Rattus norvegicus: one gene and its partners. The protein of the gene in region 3 purifies or fractionates together with the protein of the main gene of each other region. This does not show direct contact. Links are inferred from orthologs where the notes say so. Each region holds a gene or a part of one and is shown on either strand. Other genes may lie near its edges.

Region 1 (3,931 bases), on a different chromosome or scaffold from region 3:
GCTCACCCCTGTAATTTCAGCACTCTCCCTCTCCGAAACAGGGTCTCACTACATAATTCTGTTACATATAGTTCTGGCTATCCTAGACCTCACTATGTAGACCAGGCTAGCCTCAGAGATCCGCCTGCCTCTGCTTCCTGAGTCCTGTATGCCACTACCGCTCATTTCCTCCGATCTTAAGCGAGGCAGGAGAAAGAACTAGGTAAGGGGTAACCTGATGGAGAGGGTGTGCATTGGCGCTACTGGCACAGACAGGGTAGCACAGAGCCCAGGTTCCTCATCCAAGCCCTGTCCAGACCCCTGATCAGTCTCTGTTGTTTCATAAACTACACGCTAAGCCTGTAACCAATGTAGCATTTCTGCTGGCAGGCCACGGTGATCAAAGCTTGCAACTGAGTTCAGAGAGTGTAGCTCCACTAAGGACAAGTGGCAGGTCAGCCGGGACACGGCCGGGAAAGCGGAGGCCTGTCCTGGCCCGCAGCATTTTGGAAAAATTCAGCAAAGGCCCGCTGTGGCCCGCAACATTTTGGGAATATTCCGGGCCTAACAGACGCGATGTAAGGAAGCGCGGGCCAACACCGGAGAACAGTTTATATCGCTGCAGTTAAAAGCCTCAGCGACACCCGGCCAGATGCTCGACTCCCAGGAACCACCAGCCGAGCACCCTTACAGGGCAGCGGCCTAAACCAATCAGCGCCAAGTATGACCAATTTCTCCCCACCCATCCACCCAATTGAATTTCTTCTCTGAAAGGCGGTTCCGTCTAGGAGGCCTTCAGCCCAATGAGAGTTGTGGAAATTTCCAGAAAGAACAGGACCAATGGGCGCGGCCAGGTCAGCTATAATTGACGGACTCAGCAACCAATCCGTGTCGTCAAGGACCGGTTCTCCCTCAGTTAGCCCAGCCCCGAAATGGGCGGGGCTCGTCTCGGATCGTCCAATTCCGAGGTGCAGAGGAGGCAGGGCTAAAGAGAAGACCCACAGAAAACCAATGAAAGAGAAGTTATGATGATTGACTGGACTTTAATCCAATAGTAGAGGCGCACAGAGCCTCCTGGACGGCTCAACCAGTGAGCAGGCGAGGAAGGGGCGGTAACCTGGGGGTCCCGGCAGCTTCTAGTAGGTTCCAGAAGGCGGCGCGTGCGGTTGGGAACGCGGAGCGGACGAATTCGATTCAACGGGGTTCCGGGCCAGGCTATGGAGCAGGTGAAGGGGGAGGGGCGGCCGGGGCTCCGGGGCAACGCAGGCCTGTTGGCGAGGAGAAGCAAGTGGTCGGGGGCCTGGCCACGCGGCCGAGGCGCGGGCGTGAGGGCCGCGGTCAGGCGTGTGAAGGGAGAATGGCGAGCGCCAGTCGCCCCCGCGACCCGCCGAGTGGAGCGGGAACAGGCCTGGCCGCGGCCAGGCCCCGAGGCTTCTGGGTGCGGGGCTGCCTCAGCGCGGGGAGGCCCCGGCCGGCCGCTGCAAACTTGGAGGGATCCGGTGACCGATCACCTCGGCAGCCTTCGGGGTACACGGCATCTCTTTGCGCCCGGGAAAGGGGCCCGCGCGACTGTGCACAGAAGGCGGGCGCGGATAGTGTCATCGAGTCTCCCTGAGGCTCCAGATACATATGTCGCCCCTCCCCCCTTTTTTCTTGGTGACTGTAGGGTGACTGAGGATCTGACCCTTGGAAATTCCGTTCCCAATAACACAGGATTTAGTGATTTTAGACAGTTGGGAGCCGATAGTGAGGAGCTAGAAGTCCCTGCCTGCCTCTTCCGCTCAGCATCTGGGGCACAGAGGCAAACCTGCTGTCCTTACCTTGGTGACTTAGCTCAGGCCACAGTGGCCTGCATCTGTGAGGCCTGGAGAGGTTTTGTTACCTTGGAAGCTGTCATTGAACCGTTGTGATTCAGCCAAACACAGAAAAAAAGAGCACAGCTTACTACTTTTACTGTGATGGATAAAGTGAAACCTTTTGTTCTGGAAGAGCCACTGTGAGGGACCACGGGGCCTCTCTGCTTGTTAGTAAGACTAAATGAGAGGTTAATTAACTTTTTTGTACCCTTGGAGTAATTAAGTTGTAACTGAGATAGGTAGGCTGCAGTACAGACAAGAGAAACGCTTTTTGGAATAAGCAGCACCTTGCTCTGTTAAAACAAAAAGGAGTTAGTTGTTTTCCTTTATCATTCATTCATTTATTTAGTGTGTGGTGCTAGGGATCAAACCCAGGGCCTGGAGAATTCAGAACTATGGTCTACCACAGCCATCCTCCCCAACCTCCTCAGGGGAAAAAAAAATCCTGCCAGCCATTGTACAAGTGTTCATGTAGATAGTAAAGTAAGTGAATGGCTGAGCCCAGGACTGCAAAATAAGATTTCAGTGTTGGGCTTAGAGATGGTTCAGTTGGTAAGGACGTGTAAGAATGAAGACTTGAGTTCAGATTCTTAGTACCCACTAAAACGTAGGGAGGAGGGGAGACTGGAGGATCTTAGTCTGTGAGCTCCAGGTTCTTTGAGAGATCCTATCTCAGTAAGGTGGAGAGCATTAGAGGAAGAAACCCTGACTCCAACTTCTGCCCTGTGCACTAGCTGACACACAAATAAATTTGAATATTGAAAATTGTACATTGAAAGAACTCTTTCAGGTAACTCCTACAGTGACTTGTAGTTTACATTTTTTTTTTTTTTTTTTTTTTTGGTTCTTTTTTTCGGAGCTGGGGACCGAACCCAGGGCCTTGCGCTTCCTAGGTAAGTGCTCTACCACTGAGCTAAATCCCCAGCCCCTAGTTTACATTTTTAAGATTTATTTTTGCTAGGCATGGTTGTGCATGCAGTGAAGTTTAGCACTCCTGAGGAAGAGGCAGACTGATCTCTGAGTAAGTAACCGGACAGCCAGAGTTTCGTATGAGGCCCTGTCTCAAAAAAAAACCAAGGGGTTGGGGATTTGGCTCAGTGGTAGAGCGCTTAAGGCCCTGGGTTTGATCCCCAACTCCAAAAAAAAAAAAAAAAAAAAAAAAACCAAACCAAAAACCCAAAACATTTTTAATGCCCGGTGTGGTAGCACAGGTCTTTAATACCAACACTTGGAAAGCAGAGGCAAACAGATCTACAGCTTTGTCTACATAGTGGAGTTACAAGATCAGCTATCAGTAAAGAGACCCTGACTGCAAACACAGATGAGTTTTTATTTGTGTACTGTGTGCTCTTTTTCTCCCTTGGCCTTCCTGTAAAGGAATGGCATTTGGCAGTTTCATGTCTTTCCTTTACTTCTTGCCCGTCATCCTCCTTCCCTGAGAACAGGGTCCCTGCTTCTAAGTGTTGGAGTTACAGAGCAAACCCAGACCAATGGAAATTTCTGATTGGTGTGCCTTGGGATTCTAAAAGCATCTGAAAGAAAAATTCTGTGTCAGTCTTGTCAATCATAAGTAGATAATAGTTTCATAATAGGTGCTGTAATAATTTCAGTACAGTTTGACTCAGTGGTTTGGTCTTGCTGGCCTCACATTTAATATATATAGCCAAGAGATGACCTCCTTATTCTCCTGCTTCCACTTTATAAGTCCTGAAATAATAATAGGTGTATGTCACTGTGCTTGGTGCTGGTATCCAGCCTGGTGCTTCAAGTGAGTTACATCCCAGTGACATAAGTATACATCCTACTCCACTAGTGTTTACTCTTTGCTTGGCTTTAAAAGAGAGCTGCTAGCCTGTGGTAGTTTTAATCTGAGTACTTGGGAGGGAGGCGGAAGTGGAAGCTGGCAGATCCCTGAGTACGAGGACAGCCAGGGCTACACAGAAACCCTGTCTTGGAAAGTCAGTGGTGGTGTGCTGTGAAGCTGTTTTTTTTTTTTTTCCCCATAGCTAGCTTATATATGCAGTTTTTTGTTGTTGTTGTTGTTGTTTTCTGAGATTTTTTTTTTAAATTTCTGTGTAGCCCTGGGTATCCTGAAA
Region 2 (4,102 bases), on a different chromosome or scaffold from region 3:
TCCTTCCCACCAAGTCCCATCACAGCCCATCGTTCTCACTGCTAAAAGATAATAACGCCCTCCTCCCTCGGGGGTTTTATAAGATTCAAATGACAGTGTGCACGAAAAGCGTTCCTTCTAAATTACAGACTGTTAACGACAAATTAAATATGGTGTCAACTTGCTTTGTGGGTCCTGGAACACTGGCACATGCTAACAGGAACCTTAAACAGTCAGAAACCAAAGCAGGGGGTGGCCCGTTTCCCTGGCCCCTGCTGGCTGAGTGAACTGGGAAGGAGCTGCTCACCACATGATCGGTTTTGGGAGATGTGTAAGCAGCCGATCTCCCAGTCCTACCAACCATTATACCTCCTTGGCCAATGTCCAAAGCCCAGCCCCTGACCCACAGCTCCTAGAAGCTACTCAATAACAGACATGCTCCAGGTCTTCAATGTTTACTGACTCAAACGCTAAATTGATTTTCTTCTCTTTTAGTAAAATCATATTCATTCATAGGTCAGACGGACAGTTTGAAAAGTGATATTCAAGACCAGGACACATGGTGTTGACCTGAGCAGCCGGTCTTCCCGTGTTCACATGTGAAGTGCTCTGCTCTGGACTGAAGCATGTTGTGTATATCTGAGCTTCAACTTCTCATCTGCGCAATACAGATAACGGTAACTCCCCCAGAGACACGAGGCCTAGCCTACAGACTGATGCTAACATGGATGATTTATAAACTAGGATAACCACTAAAGAGTAAGGCGTTCGGCCTCGACAAGCGCAGAATCCCCATAGAGCTGGTCATGTAAATCAGGAAAGGACGGGATTATCTTTTTAGAGAAAGCACTGCAGGAGAGGAGGCGTAGTAATAAAATATTGTTTTAATGTAAGATGGTGTCGTTAATATCATAAGCCATTAGAAACAAACGGCATCTGTTACCGATTTATAAAACATTTTAAAGCATTTCGGACACCCCCCGAGGTCAGTTCATCCTGCAGGACATAAAGCCTTTGATGTGGTTTCAGTCCACAGAACCAGTTCAACTGAATGGAAGATGCACACTGGCTACCAACCAATGACTTACACTACCCCATCCACTGCTTTTCCCACACATGGGCACTAAGAAAGTTGGAGGGACGTCACAGGAGCGTCATCTTTCTCTACCCATGTTTGAAAAGCCTAATTTTAAAGTGTCCTGCTCTGTGACACTGTCCAGGTGGCTTCTAAAAAGGGCCCCCAAACCTTAAAAGGCAGCATCATCCCTCCCCCCATTTCTTTCACCTTCTGACAAACTTACTTCTAAGTGCGCATCACATTTTTAAAGAGAAACAAGACTTACAGAAATCTGCGCTTACTGGTAAAGGCCTTGAACCACTAAACACACAGTAAGAAACCCCCTTCAGCGCAACTGTTAATAAGTAACATAATTTAATCTCCTATGGGCCGGGAATTGAGATTCCTTTGACGTAGTCAGACATTAGAATGTAACACTAAGCAACCCCCAGACTTTCAAGAGGCCCCCAGGAGGAGAGGAGGGACTCAGCACATGGCCGGCAGGGATTAACTCAAGTTTCTGAACAATGACTCAGCTTGAGGAAGAGTGACAACTTCCTGAACCCTTCAAGGAAAAAAAAAATCGGAGCAGTTGAGAATGTACTGTCAAAGTTCGGAGCCTACCTCACAGAGGGAAACACTCCTCTCTTTTCAGAGGGGCTTTAATGCTGACCCCCTCCCTTCTCAGCATAGGTCCCTTTGTCTCCCTCCGGTTTGGGGGACATAGGGTTCAGGCTTCTCTTGTGGTTGCTACTCCAGAGACTAAAAGTTTCTCACCTTCTGGTTCTTTTCTCCTAATAGTAAAAATAGCGAACACCTCAATTGTAACAAACACTGCTTGTATTTTTCTGTGCAAACATACTGTGTTTGGTGGATGCACGGAGAGAGATGAAGACGCACAAGACTCTTAAGATTTTGGCTCATATTTCTGCTTATGCAGAACCTGGAGAAAACTAGGGAACAACATGTGTCAGGGTGTCTCCATACGATTTTCATGGAACAGCGCCTGCACACAATCAAAACTTGCACAACTTTGGAGACCTTAACGTTCCCACCAGATACACCGGGGCTCATGTTGCTAAAGCCAAGTATTCACAGCATCTGCTAGTAGTATTCACGATTTAGAAATTTTACTACAAGGCCGTCCCCGTGATAGAATCTCAGGGAGAGTGTGACGCCTGCCTTTGGTGTTTTCAGACCTGCGACTGGCACTTCCCAAGTGTCAGCTGTGTCTTCTAAACGCACAACATACACGGACAGACTGCAGAGGGCACTGCACGTGGTTAAGAGAAGGAAGGATGGTATCCAACTTCGGTATCTCGCGCGGCCCCTTTTGAGTCTGATTCTCGCTGGTCCCCCGGAGGGGCAGTCCTGGGTTTTTTCTTTTTTAAAACTTACTCTTGTGTTACTATGAAGTGATCTGGGGCAAAGAAACTTATTACAGGGGAGGGGGGAAGGACCACACCAACCTGCTGCCTGCCCCCTGGAAGCGGGAAAGTTAAAGGCAGAGGGGGACCGCGCCGAAGGATCTGGAAGTTCTGCAAGCCGCACTGGCTCGCCGCGCTGCCGGCCGGGGGAGGGGAGCCCACCCGGAGCGCGCCCCCGCCCGCGCGCGCCCCCGCCGCCCTCACCTGAGCTCCAGCTGGTCCAGGCTCTCCAGCAGGCGGCTGGAGCGGTCGGCCATGGAGGACGAGCGGCAGAAGCGGCCCTCGTGGGCCTTGGCGCTGATCTTCGCCTGGGCCATGAGCTCCGGGGGTCCTCGGCGTCCGCGGGTAGCAGTGGCGCGGGCCGCACGTCGCCGTCACCGCAGGCGCCGCTGACGCGGACGGCACCGCCCCCACCTCCCAGGCTCCCCACCCCCGAGGCCGCGCGGCCAAACAAGGGCAGGCGCGGGCGCAGCCGCCCGCACGCCTGGGTGGGGGACCCTGCCCCGGGGCGCCGAGGGCCCACGCCGTTCCTCCCAGCACCCACGATTCACAGCAAGGACGTAGTGGGTGCTGCCCGTGACGTGGGGAGAGCCGGAGACAATTCAGGACGCCCTAAAGGGCAGTCTCTACTTGCCCGACCTGTCGGGTGACCAGGCGGGCTCCGGAGAGTCCAGGGAAAGCCTGGACCACAGGCTCCAAATAAGGAGAAGCCAAGTGCATCTGTGTTGTCTTGCCTTTCCAATGAAAGGATTATTACTTTCACACATAACTTGTTTAAATCCTCTGCGAATGATATTCGGTAGGCTCATGTGTCAGAAGCTGTAGAGGTCAGCAGGGCTGAAGTACAAAGCCGCGTCCACTTAAAGTCGTGTTTTGCTCTCTCAATGCACAGGATACAGAAATGCACAGGGAAACAAAGTTCATTTACTTCCTTCACTCAGAACTCAAAGCCATTAGATCACTGAACAGAGACAAGCCCCTTAAGTACGACTGGCTTCTAGTCCCACCCCTCCACCCCCCACCCCATCCTTATCCTGAACTCATCTTAATACTAATGAGCGGTGGATTATCTTGGCTTCATTAAACACGGTCATCTCACGACACGACCGAGAAATCTGAACATTTTGTGGACGTCTTGGAAGTCTGAGCTTGGGCAAGTCTCAGGTCTAATGCTCCGCTGGAGGCTGAGACAGAGTTGTGTGAATTAGGCCAGAGTGAATTCAAGGCTAGGCTGGGAAGCTTCAGCAAGCGCCTGTGTCAAAAGAAAAATAAAAGGGGCTGCAGACACAGCTCTGCGGTAGAGTGTCTGCCTCTGTGCTAGGTTGGCAACTAAGCCAGGCAGATGTGGTTGTTTGAATTCCCCCTCCCTGTACTCTCTGTCCTCATCACCAGGGAGGACTTAGGTGAGGCCTCGCTGGAGGAAGTGTATCCCTATGGGCAGGTTTGAAAAGATTCAAGCTATTCCTAGTGTCTCTCTGCCTCGACTTGGGTTTGAGATGTGAGTGCTCAGGGCATCTCTGTGGCCATTATAGACTCAGACCCTCTGTATCTAAGTTCAATTAAATGCTTTATTTTACAGGTTGCCTTGGTCATGATGTTTTATCACAGCAGGAGGAAAGTAACTAAAGTAACAAGCATC
Region 3 (4,014 bases):
TACAATACAGGTTTACATAGGGAAATGGTATTGTCACTTAACTCTGACAGTAGAGCCACTATTCTGAGGAATTCCTACTTCTGTTTTCACAGTTTGCAAGAATATTCATTACCCAATATACTATTTAGCTCACATCTAACACTGAAATCAACAATACTTTTGTTTTTAAGGAAGATCTCACTATACAGACCTAGGTGACATCCAACTCAGGAGGACACTGGTCCACCTCTGACTCAAGGAATAATTTGTTTGGCTTTTTGTTTGGTTTTTCTGAGACAGGGTTTCACTGTGTAGTCCTGGCTGTCCTAAACTCCAACTGTAAACCATGTTGGCTTCCAGCTCTCAGAGATCAGCTTGCTTCTTTCTGCCTTCTGAATACTAGGATTAAAGGTATGGACCATTATTGCCTGGCAGACAATGATTTCTTTAAGATATTCCACTCTAAAGCTCAATGATCTGAGTTCACTTGTTCATCTTCCACTGAACAAAAGCAAACTTGTCAGGCTATGGAGTTGGCCAGCTGGCCAAACAATTCAGTCCCACTTGTCTTACAACCTAAATTCCATCCCAGGAACCTACTGAAATAGAGAGTTGACTCCCTAACATTGTATGTACTCTGGGCCAAGCATGGGGAATATTAGTGAAGTCAAAGCAGAATTCAAGGCCAGCCTGATCTATATACCAAGCTACAGCTAAAAAGTGAGACCTGTAGTCAAGAGGTAGAAGAAAAAAGGGCAGGATGTGGTGGTGCATCTTTGATCTCAGCGCTTGGGAGGCTGATCATTGGGTTCCAGGTTAACACGCTGAGACCCTAAACTCAAAATCAAAAAGAACAAACTCAGCACTGGCAGTGCACAGCTATATAAACAGAGCATACTGGCCAGAAAGTCGGATTCCCAGGCATAGGCTATAAGATACACATTTCATATATACACACACATAAACACAATAAAAATATTTTAAAAGCCAACTTTCTCAGCTGGACATAGTGAGTACTGCCTTCAGTGCACTTAGGAGGGCAGAGGCAGAGGAATCTGAATTCAAGGCCAGCTTGGTATACAGAGCAAATTCAGGACAGCCAGGGATACACAAAGAAACCCCATCTTCTGTCTCGGGCAGGGGTTTCGGGTGGGGGGAACAACTTCCAAGAGACACAAGAGGGCCGGAAATCTAAGAGGTCTGCCTGGGCAAAAGAGTGAACAGAAGAGAAGACTGGAGCTGGAGAGATGCTCAGTGGTTAAGAACACTGACTGCTCTCCCAGAGGTCCTGAGTTCAATTCCCAGCAACCACATGGTGGCTCACAACCATCTGTAATAAGATTTGATGCCCTCTTCTGGTGTGTCTGAAGATAGCTACAGTGTACTTATATATAATAAATTAATTAACCCATTCCTACAAAAGGCAGCATTTCTTCCCGTATTTCATGTTCTTCCTAATCCCAAAGCTCTACCCGAAGTTCACTGCAAGTGTCTGTACTGATCACATAGTAATCACACACCAGAGGGCAATTCCACCTGTGGTGGTGACGTCCCAAAGGACAAGGAGTACGGTAACAGATATGAAAACTTTCTTTCAGGTATCAGTAAGTCTGATACACTTCATTTCAGGTATCAAATGTCAAGACGCCTGCTCTTTAGCTGTTCCCTCCTCTGGCTTTTACATCCAATATTTCTACTAAAACGGTTGCCTTATAGTAGCTATCACTTATTTCCCTAGCAAGCAGAATCTCCTAAGATTCTAGGGTCTAGATCGAATGCACAAACCCTAACCACAAATCTATGATTCTAATAAAAACGATAATAATAATAATAATAATAACAACAATAATAAGGTGGGCACACACTCCTCACTGTAGGCATTCCCCACCTTATTAGGTGGGACCATCCCCGCCATTCCCTATCAACGGTTCACAAACAGCTTCGGTAACAAAGCTTTTAAAACTTGACAAACTCATTCTGTAAAACTCTCTGTCTCAAAAAAAAAAAAAAATTTTAAGACAACCTTTCAGTTTGCAGTGCAGAGTTCCCTAGTCTACACAGCCGAAGTAAATTAAGACTTAATGTAAACTTCAGTTACATAAACTTTATTACATAAACCACAGCAAAGCAACCTTCAAGGCCAACAGCAAACGAGTTTTAAAAGTAAACTAAGCCAGGCAGATCGCCTAGCAAACTTCCCCAACAGTCCCAGGAGCATCCTGGAAACCAAACCGCCTTGGCCTTCTCACCGGCCCCCTTCGCAGCCTGGTGGCCTGGGCCAGTGACTGTGCCTTCCTGGGAGTTCTGCTCTTCGCATGCCACCTGACCCCTTGCTTACAGAATGCACTGAGGACACCAGGACACGGTGACACCAGCCTCGCCGACTCCTGGAGCTCTGCGGCCGACCTAGCGCGTGCCGGGCCCCAACCGCCACTGCTAACCAGAGAGCCTGGGAAGCGGACCGGAGCTAAGCCCCAAGCTAGGCCTGACCAGGAACCGCAAAAACGCTCTCTACAGACCCAACCTAGAACCAGCCCAGACCAAGAACTAGACACAGACTACAGCTTGGACTGGGACCCGTTCGGCCCTAGCGAGCAATACCCGCCGGCCCCACTGTCGAGCCGGTTTCCAGAACCCGTATTCCGGGTGCCAAGCGGGTTAGCTCACCCGCAAACCCTCTCCTCCCGCCGCAGTCAACCCCGCTTTCCGCCCCAATACGCGGACCCTCACCGAGGACGCGGCGGCCAGCGAGGGGGGAAGTCAGGCGGCCGGTCTCCTCGCGGCTCTGGCACAGTGCGCTGGTGGCGGTGGCGGCGTCTCCTCGCGCTTTCCTTTCTCTCCTTTTCTCCAACAACAAACAGGAAGTGCGTCACGCGGTGGCGGCGCGGCGACGTCGACTTCCGCCCGGCCCTGAAGCTAGCGTGCACAGCAGCTTCCTTGGTCGTCGGATCCGATAGCGCGCGTCTCCCAGACCTGAAGATTCTCGGAGCTGAGCATGGTGGAACTCTAGAGGGTTTATATAGGCGACTGAATAGAGTGGGAAACCGCCACCTTTCGCAAGCCCTGAGCCTGGAGGACTCTAAAGCCTGAGGCGACCTGTAGACAATCCTGCGTTTGCCGGAAGCAGGCTGGGAGGAAGGACGCTCACAGCCTCTGACTGTGGATTCTGAGATAACGAGCTGCTAGCATAATATGACTCACACTCCCAATGGACGTTGAGAGCTGTGGTCCCGACTTAGATCCTCCTCAGTGCCCCGTCCCCAGCCCTGATCTTACTTGAACCGTGAGAGGCCCCATCATTACTTACATGGAGTGCCGAATCTGGATTTCAACCACTTTTTTAAAATAAAGATGAATTTATTTTATGAATATGAGTATACTGTCACTGTCTTCAGGCAAACCAGAAGAGGACATCGGTTCCCATTACAGGTGATGTGAGCCGCCATGTGGATGCTGGGAATAGAACTCAAGACTTCCTGGGAGAACAGCCAGTGCTCTTAACCACTGAACCACCTCTCCAGACCCTCAACCACCTTCTTACCACATGGCATTCTTTTTTTTTCCTTTGCTCGTTTTTGTTTTGTTTTTGAGTGCAAAATTTGATTTTCCTAGTGGTAGACATTGAACCCCAAGGCTTTGTACATGCTAAACACTCTACCCTAGAAGCCTACCCCAGCCCTCTTTTGAAAAGGTTGCAGCTTAGTTGCTCCCTCTGACTTTGAACTTTCCAGAATTACAGGTTTGGGATGACATCCTTCACAACCACCGGGCCTAGTTTTCATTGAGATGCCGAACCAAAGGCATTTTGCACATTTTCTACAGCCTGGTCCACAGCTAATTCCAGGACAGCTGAATGTACGTACACAGTTCCAATGCTGTACCCCCGAGCCGCATCTGCCTGACTTTATGGACTAAGGTCAGCACCATACTCAGTCTGTCCTGATTTTGAGGGCTCTGACTCTTCTCAGTGGCCCACCCACTGCTCACCCCCCATGTGGAGAAGTTATATAAACTCCTACAGCTAACAGGAGGGCT
Region 4 (4,023 bases), about 150 Mb from region 3:
ACGTAAGAGCTAGAGAAATGGGACTGGAATGTAACTTAGTGGTAGGACATGTGCTTGGCAAACCCGAAGCCCTCAGTTGGATCCTGAGCACTAAAGCCAAAACTAAAAAGCCGACAACAAAAAGCAAACATCAGAACTAACGCTTTTGCCCAGGCCAACCCTTCACAGACAGGTCTTGGAGTGGTCCAGAAGCCTAAGCCAACCCGGTGTCCTAAGGCAGTAAAGATCCAGCCTGGCCCAGGAGCGCTCTCTGGCGGCCAAACTCCCAACATCCCTTCCCTGGTTGGCCTTTTCCAAGGCTGAACTAGACCTGAGCTAAATTGTCACCTCCTCCTCTGCGTCACTCGGAGGACCCCGCCCGCCGGAGCGTCTCTCCAGAGGGACAGGCCCCCGCGCTCCCCTGGTTAAGCGCCCCTCCTGCACTGAGTTTAAAGGTCCCCGCAGGGATCCGCCCCACCGGTCGCCCCCAGACAGACCGCCTCCCCCCTCCCGCAAAGAAGGTGCGGCACACCCTGCCCCCGTCGCGCTCAACCAGTCCCTCCCGATTCCGCTCCGCCCTCCCCCACCTTTGCAGGAGCCTCTTCCTGTCCCCAGATCCCCGTGCCAGCTTAACGAGACCTCCCACCGGCCCCAGAGGACCCGCCCTCCGGGGCTCCGCCGCGAGCCCGCCGCCCCCTCCCATGCAGGTGGGTGGAGCTCCCGTGGCCCGCCCCCAAGACTGTCCGTCATGACGTCACTTCCGCTCGGGCCTGACCGAGGTTCGGCTCCTCGGGCCGAGGGCGGGGGTACGGAGGTGGCAGCTGAAGGCAGGAGGCGGTGCGGGAGGCGAGAAGCTCCCGCGCGGACCAATCCCTGCGTCCCGGGCCGAGACCCTGCTCCTGCAGCGCCCCGAGGAGAGGCCGGCCGGATGGGCCGCTGAGCCCGAGTCGGGGACCGGTGAGGCCAGGGCGGCGCGGCCCGCACGGTTGCAGGGATGCGAGCCCGGGAGTGGACCTCCCTCTCCGGCTCGCCCGGCGGGAGGCACGGGTTGGGGCAGCGGCGGACCGGCTCGGTGGGCAGTGAGGCCCGCCCGGAGAGGCCTGGTAGCGGCCCGTGCCAGCAGAAGGCGGAGTAGTTGGGGTCATTAATGGGGTGGCGGGCCGCCGTTCGAGATTCTCATCGAGACTGGCGTCGGAGGAGGAGCTGACCGTGGCTCGGGGAAGAGGATGGCGGGCGGGGGTGGAGGGGCAACACTAAGAAGCTTGGGGAAAATTCCGTGACCGGCTTGGAGAGCTACTCGCTCTCAAAACTAGAAGGTTATGTGGTCCACCTGCCGAAGGGTCTCTCTGGAGTTTGGATGGGTCATTGATAGTGTGTGCAAGAGACAGCTTTAAGAGTAGCTACACTGAGCTGGTGTGCATAAGCCTGCATGAAACTCAGCCTCCGTATCTTCACAGTGTGGAGCCCCCTGGAGCTGAGATCAGGATGTTCCGCTTCATGAGGGACGTGGAGCCTGAGGATCCCATGTTCCTGATGTGAGAATTCCCTCCCCCCTCGTGCACTCATCCCACTCTAATTCAGGTCTGAGCAGTTCAGACAGACCTCTGGGTTCCCGTGTCTGGAACCGGATAGAATTTAGCTGCAGCTCTCAGACGGGAGTTGGTCTCCTGCCACTGCGCACCCTGACTTATTTGGGGGGAGGTGAAGAAGGCTGGGGTTTAATCTGCCGTCTGTATTGTATGCTCACTCCACAGGGACCCCTTTGCAATTCACCGTCAGCATATGAGCCGCATGTTGTCAGGTGGCTTTGGATATAGCCCCTTCCTAAGCATCACAGATGGTAACATGCCAGCAACCAGGCCTGCCAGCCGCAGGATGCAGGTAACAGTTGGAACATACCGAGACCCAGGGTGACTAGTTAAGTATGCTGCCATTCTGGTCCTACAACCAGCTTTAAAAGGACATGATCTGTGTGGGAGGCAGAGGAGTGGGGATAGAGAATCTGGGAAAGGGGGCTTTGACTCCCGAGGAGAGAAGGATGGGGTTGGGGGATGGAGGCACTGGCCACGTTTGGTATAGTAAGGTCGTAGGATGTAGTTCTAACTTCTGTTCCTTATCTTGTAGGCTGGGGCTGTCTCTCCCTTTGGGATGTTGGGAATGGTGAGTTCTTGTCTTCTCTGTTCCCCTCGAGCTCGCTCTCTCTCTCTCTCTCTCTCTCTCCTGTGTCTCTGTCTGTCTCTCTCTTCTGGCTCTTTGTGTCTCTGTCTCTCTCTTTCTCTGACACACAGATACACACAGACCTTAGATGTTATTTTCAGATGTGCCACTTTGGTGACAATGTTAGTCTAGGGGTGGTCTCAAAATCTTCTCTGGATAGTTGACATAGTTTAGAGCCCATTGAATATAAATCATGGAGCTAGGGCTAGAGAAATGGCTCCAGGGTTAAGAGCACCTGGCTGTTCTTCCAGACAACCAGGGTTTGGTTCCCAGCACCCACATGACAGCTCACAACTGTCTGTCTGTAGTCTCCAGGCATCTGATGCCATCTTCTGTTCCCTACCGTGCATTGCATGAATGGAGGGAACACATACATGCAGACAGAACACTCATTCATAGAAAAATATAAATAAAGTGCTCAAATACTCCTGATAGCTGGAAGTTCTTATCCACTGGGGAAAGTAAGATTGTATAGCAGTTCTTTTGAGGAGGGAGACTTTGGGACACTTTTACAACTCTAGATATTCAGAGGGTTTTTTGGTCGATGTCTTGGATTTTGGTTTTTTGAGACAAGGTTTCTTTATAACAGCCCTGGGTCTCCTGGAACTCACTCTGTAGACCAGGCTGGCCACAAGTCATCTGTGCTTGCCTCTGCCTCCCAGTGTTGGATTAAAGGCAAACCGTCAACATTTAGCATGTTCAGAGGAGCTAACTCACTGCTTTTGGGTCACTTCCTTAAAGATAGGGAAATGCACAGGTAGGAGAAGCATCAGAACAGCCACAGACCCGAGAAGGTGGCCAGCAGCTTATGGGGAGGAGCATGAGTGTTCTGGCTACATTTAAGAAGGAAAGCGGGTCTGTCCTCAGGTGAGTGACAGGCCCACAACCGCTGACCCATCTTCCTGACCCTCTCCTTTCCTCAGTCCGGCGGCTTCATGGACATGTTTGGGATGATGAACGACATGATTGGGAACATGGTATGACTTGCTCCAGTCTTCCCCGGCCTTGATCTCGGTGGCAGCCAACATGGCGGGAGGGGGTGAGGTGATGTGCTAGTGAAGAGGCTGGGTTGGACTGAGCTGAGCCAGAGCACCGGGGTCCTGTGTGTGTTCTTATACCCCTGAGCGATCACATGTGTTAGTGTTGGGCTAGGGAGTTGGGCAGTTGTGATGCCCATTCTCCTTGTGTAGTTAAGAAAGCTGAGGCAAGAGCAGTCAGCTGGAGGGAGCTCCCTTCTGCAAAGTAGGCCCTCCTCATTCAGTCTCTCCTCAGGAGCACATGGCCGCCGGAGGCAACTGCCAGACCTTCTCTTCCTCCACGGTCATCTCCTACTCCAACACTGGGGATGGTGCCCCCAAGGTTTACCAGGAGACATCTGAGATGCGCTCTGCCCCAGGCGGGGTGAGTAAGGAACTCCCCTATCTCAGAGGAGGTAGGACTGATTGGCACACACAGGAACCAGGGACGTCTTTTTTCAGGAATGGGTCGTGGGTGGTGTGTTCATCCAGGGTGATGTAGCCAGGGCTTTGTGGGGACAATTGCATGTGTCTGGTCCCTTTGTCCCAGATCCGGGAGACACGGAGGACTGTCCGGGACTCAGACAGTGGCCTAGAGCAGATGTCCATTGGGCATCACATTCGGGATAGGGCCCACATCCTCCAGCGCTCCCGAAACCACCGCACGGGCGACCAGGAGGAGCGGCAGGACTACATCAACCTGGACGAAAGTGAGTGAGCCAGCCACTCAGCCAGCCTGCCTGCCTGCCTGCCTGCCTGCCTGCCTGCCTGCCTGCCTGCCTGCCTGCCTTCCTTCCTTCCTTCCTTCCTT

What was found. Proteins that work in one complex are often made in the same cells at the same time.
Region 1: the proteins of Dnajb6 (region 3) and Stip1 purify together in Homo sapiens (affinity purification with mass spectrometry; 3 studies listed by BioGRID and IntAct, with this or other methods). This does not show direct contact. The link is inferred for Rattus norvegicus from reciprocal best matches to the Homo sapiens genes DNAJB6 and STIP1.
Region 2: the proteins of Dnajb6 (region 3) and Bag2 purify together in Homo sapiens (affinity purification with mass spectrometry; 4 studies listed by BioGRID and IntAct, with this or other methods). This does not show direct contact. The link is inferred for Rattus norvegicus from reciprocal best matches to the Homo sapiens genes DNAJB6 and BAG2.
Region 4: the proteins of Dnajb6 (region 3) and Mlf2 purify together in Homo sapiens (affinity purification with mass spectrometry; 3 studies listed by BioGRID and IntAct, with this or other methods). This does not show direct contact. The link is inferred for Rattus norvegicus from reciprocal best matches to the Homo sapiens genes DNAJB6 and MLF2.

Annotation. Positions count from the first base shown.
Region 1 is NC_086019.1:213,654,855-213,658,785, reverse strand, and holds the start of Stip1 (stress-induced-phosphoprotein 1), read left to right. Parts: upstream 1-1,131; 5' UTR 1,132-1,196; coding exon 1,197-1,205; intron 1,206-3,931. UniProt on the Homo sapiens protein: Acts as a co-chaperone for HSP90AA1. Mediates the association of the molecular chaperones HSPA8/HSC70 and HSP90.
Region 2 is NC_086027.1:43,473,838-43,477,939, forward strand, and holds the start of Bag2 (BAG family molecular chaperone regulator 2), read right to left. Parts: upstream 2,801-4,102; 5' UTR 2,781-2,800; coding exon 2,668-2,780; intron 1-2,667. UniProt on the Homo sapiens protein: Co-chaperone for HSP70 and HSC70 chaperone proteins. Acts as a nucleotide-exchange factor (NEF) promoting the release of ADP from the HSP70 and HSC70 proteins thereby triggering client/substrate protein release.
Region 3 is NC_086022.1:6,229,205-6,233,218, forward strand, and holds the start of Dnajb6 (dnaJ homolog subfamily B member 6), read right to left. Parts: upstream 2,801-4,014; 5' UTR 2,710-2,800; intron 1-2,709. UniProt on the Homo sapiens protein: Has a stimulatory effect on the ATPase activity of HSP70 in a dose-dependent and time-dependent manner and hence acts as a co-chaperone of HSP70. Plays an indispensable role in the organization of KRT8/KRT18 filaments.
Region 4 is NC_086022.1:159,425,176-159,429,198, forward strand, and holds the start of Mlf2 (myeloid leukemia factor 2), read left to right. Parts: upstream 1-1,223; 5' UTR 1,224-1,464; coding exon 1,465-1,514; intron 1,515-1,733; coding exon 1,734-1,860; intron 1,861-2,103; coding exon 2,104-2,139; intron 2,140-3,119; coding exon 3,120-3,173; intron 3,174-3,468; coding exon 3,469-3,597; intron 3,598-3,762; coding exon 3,763-3,922; intron 3,923-4,023.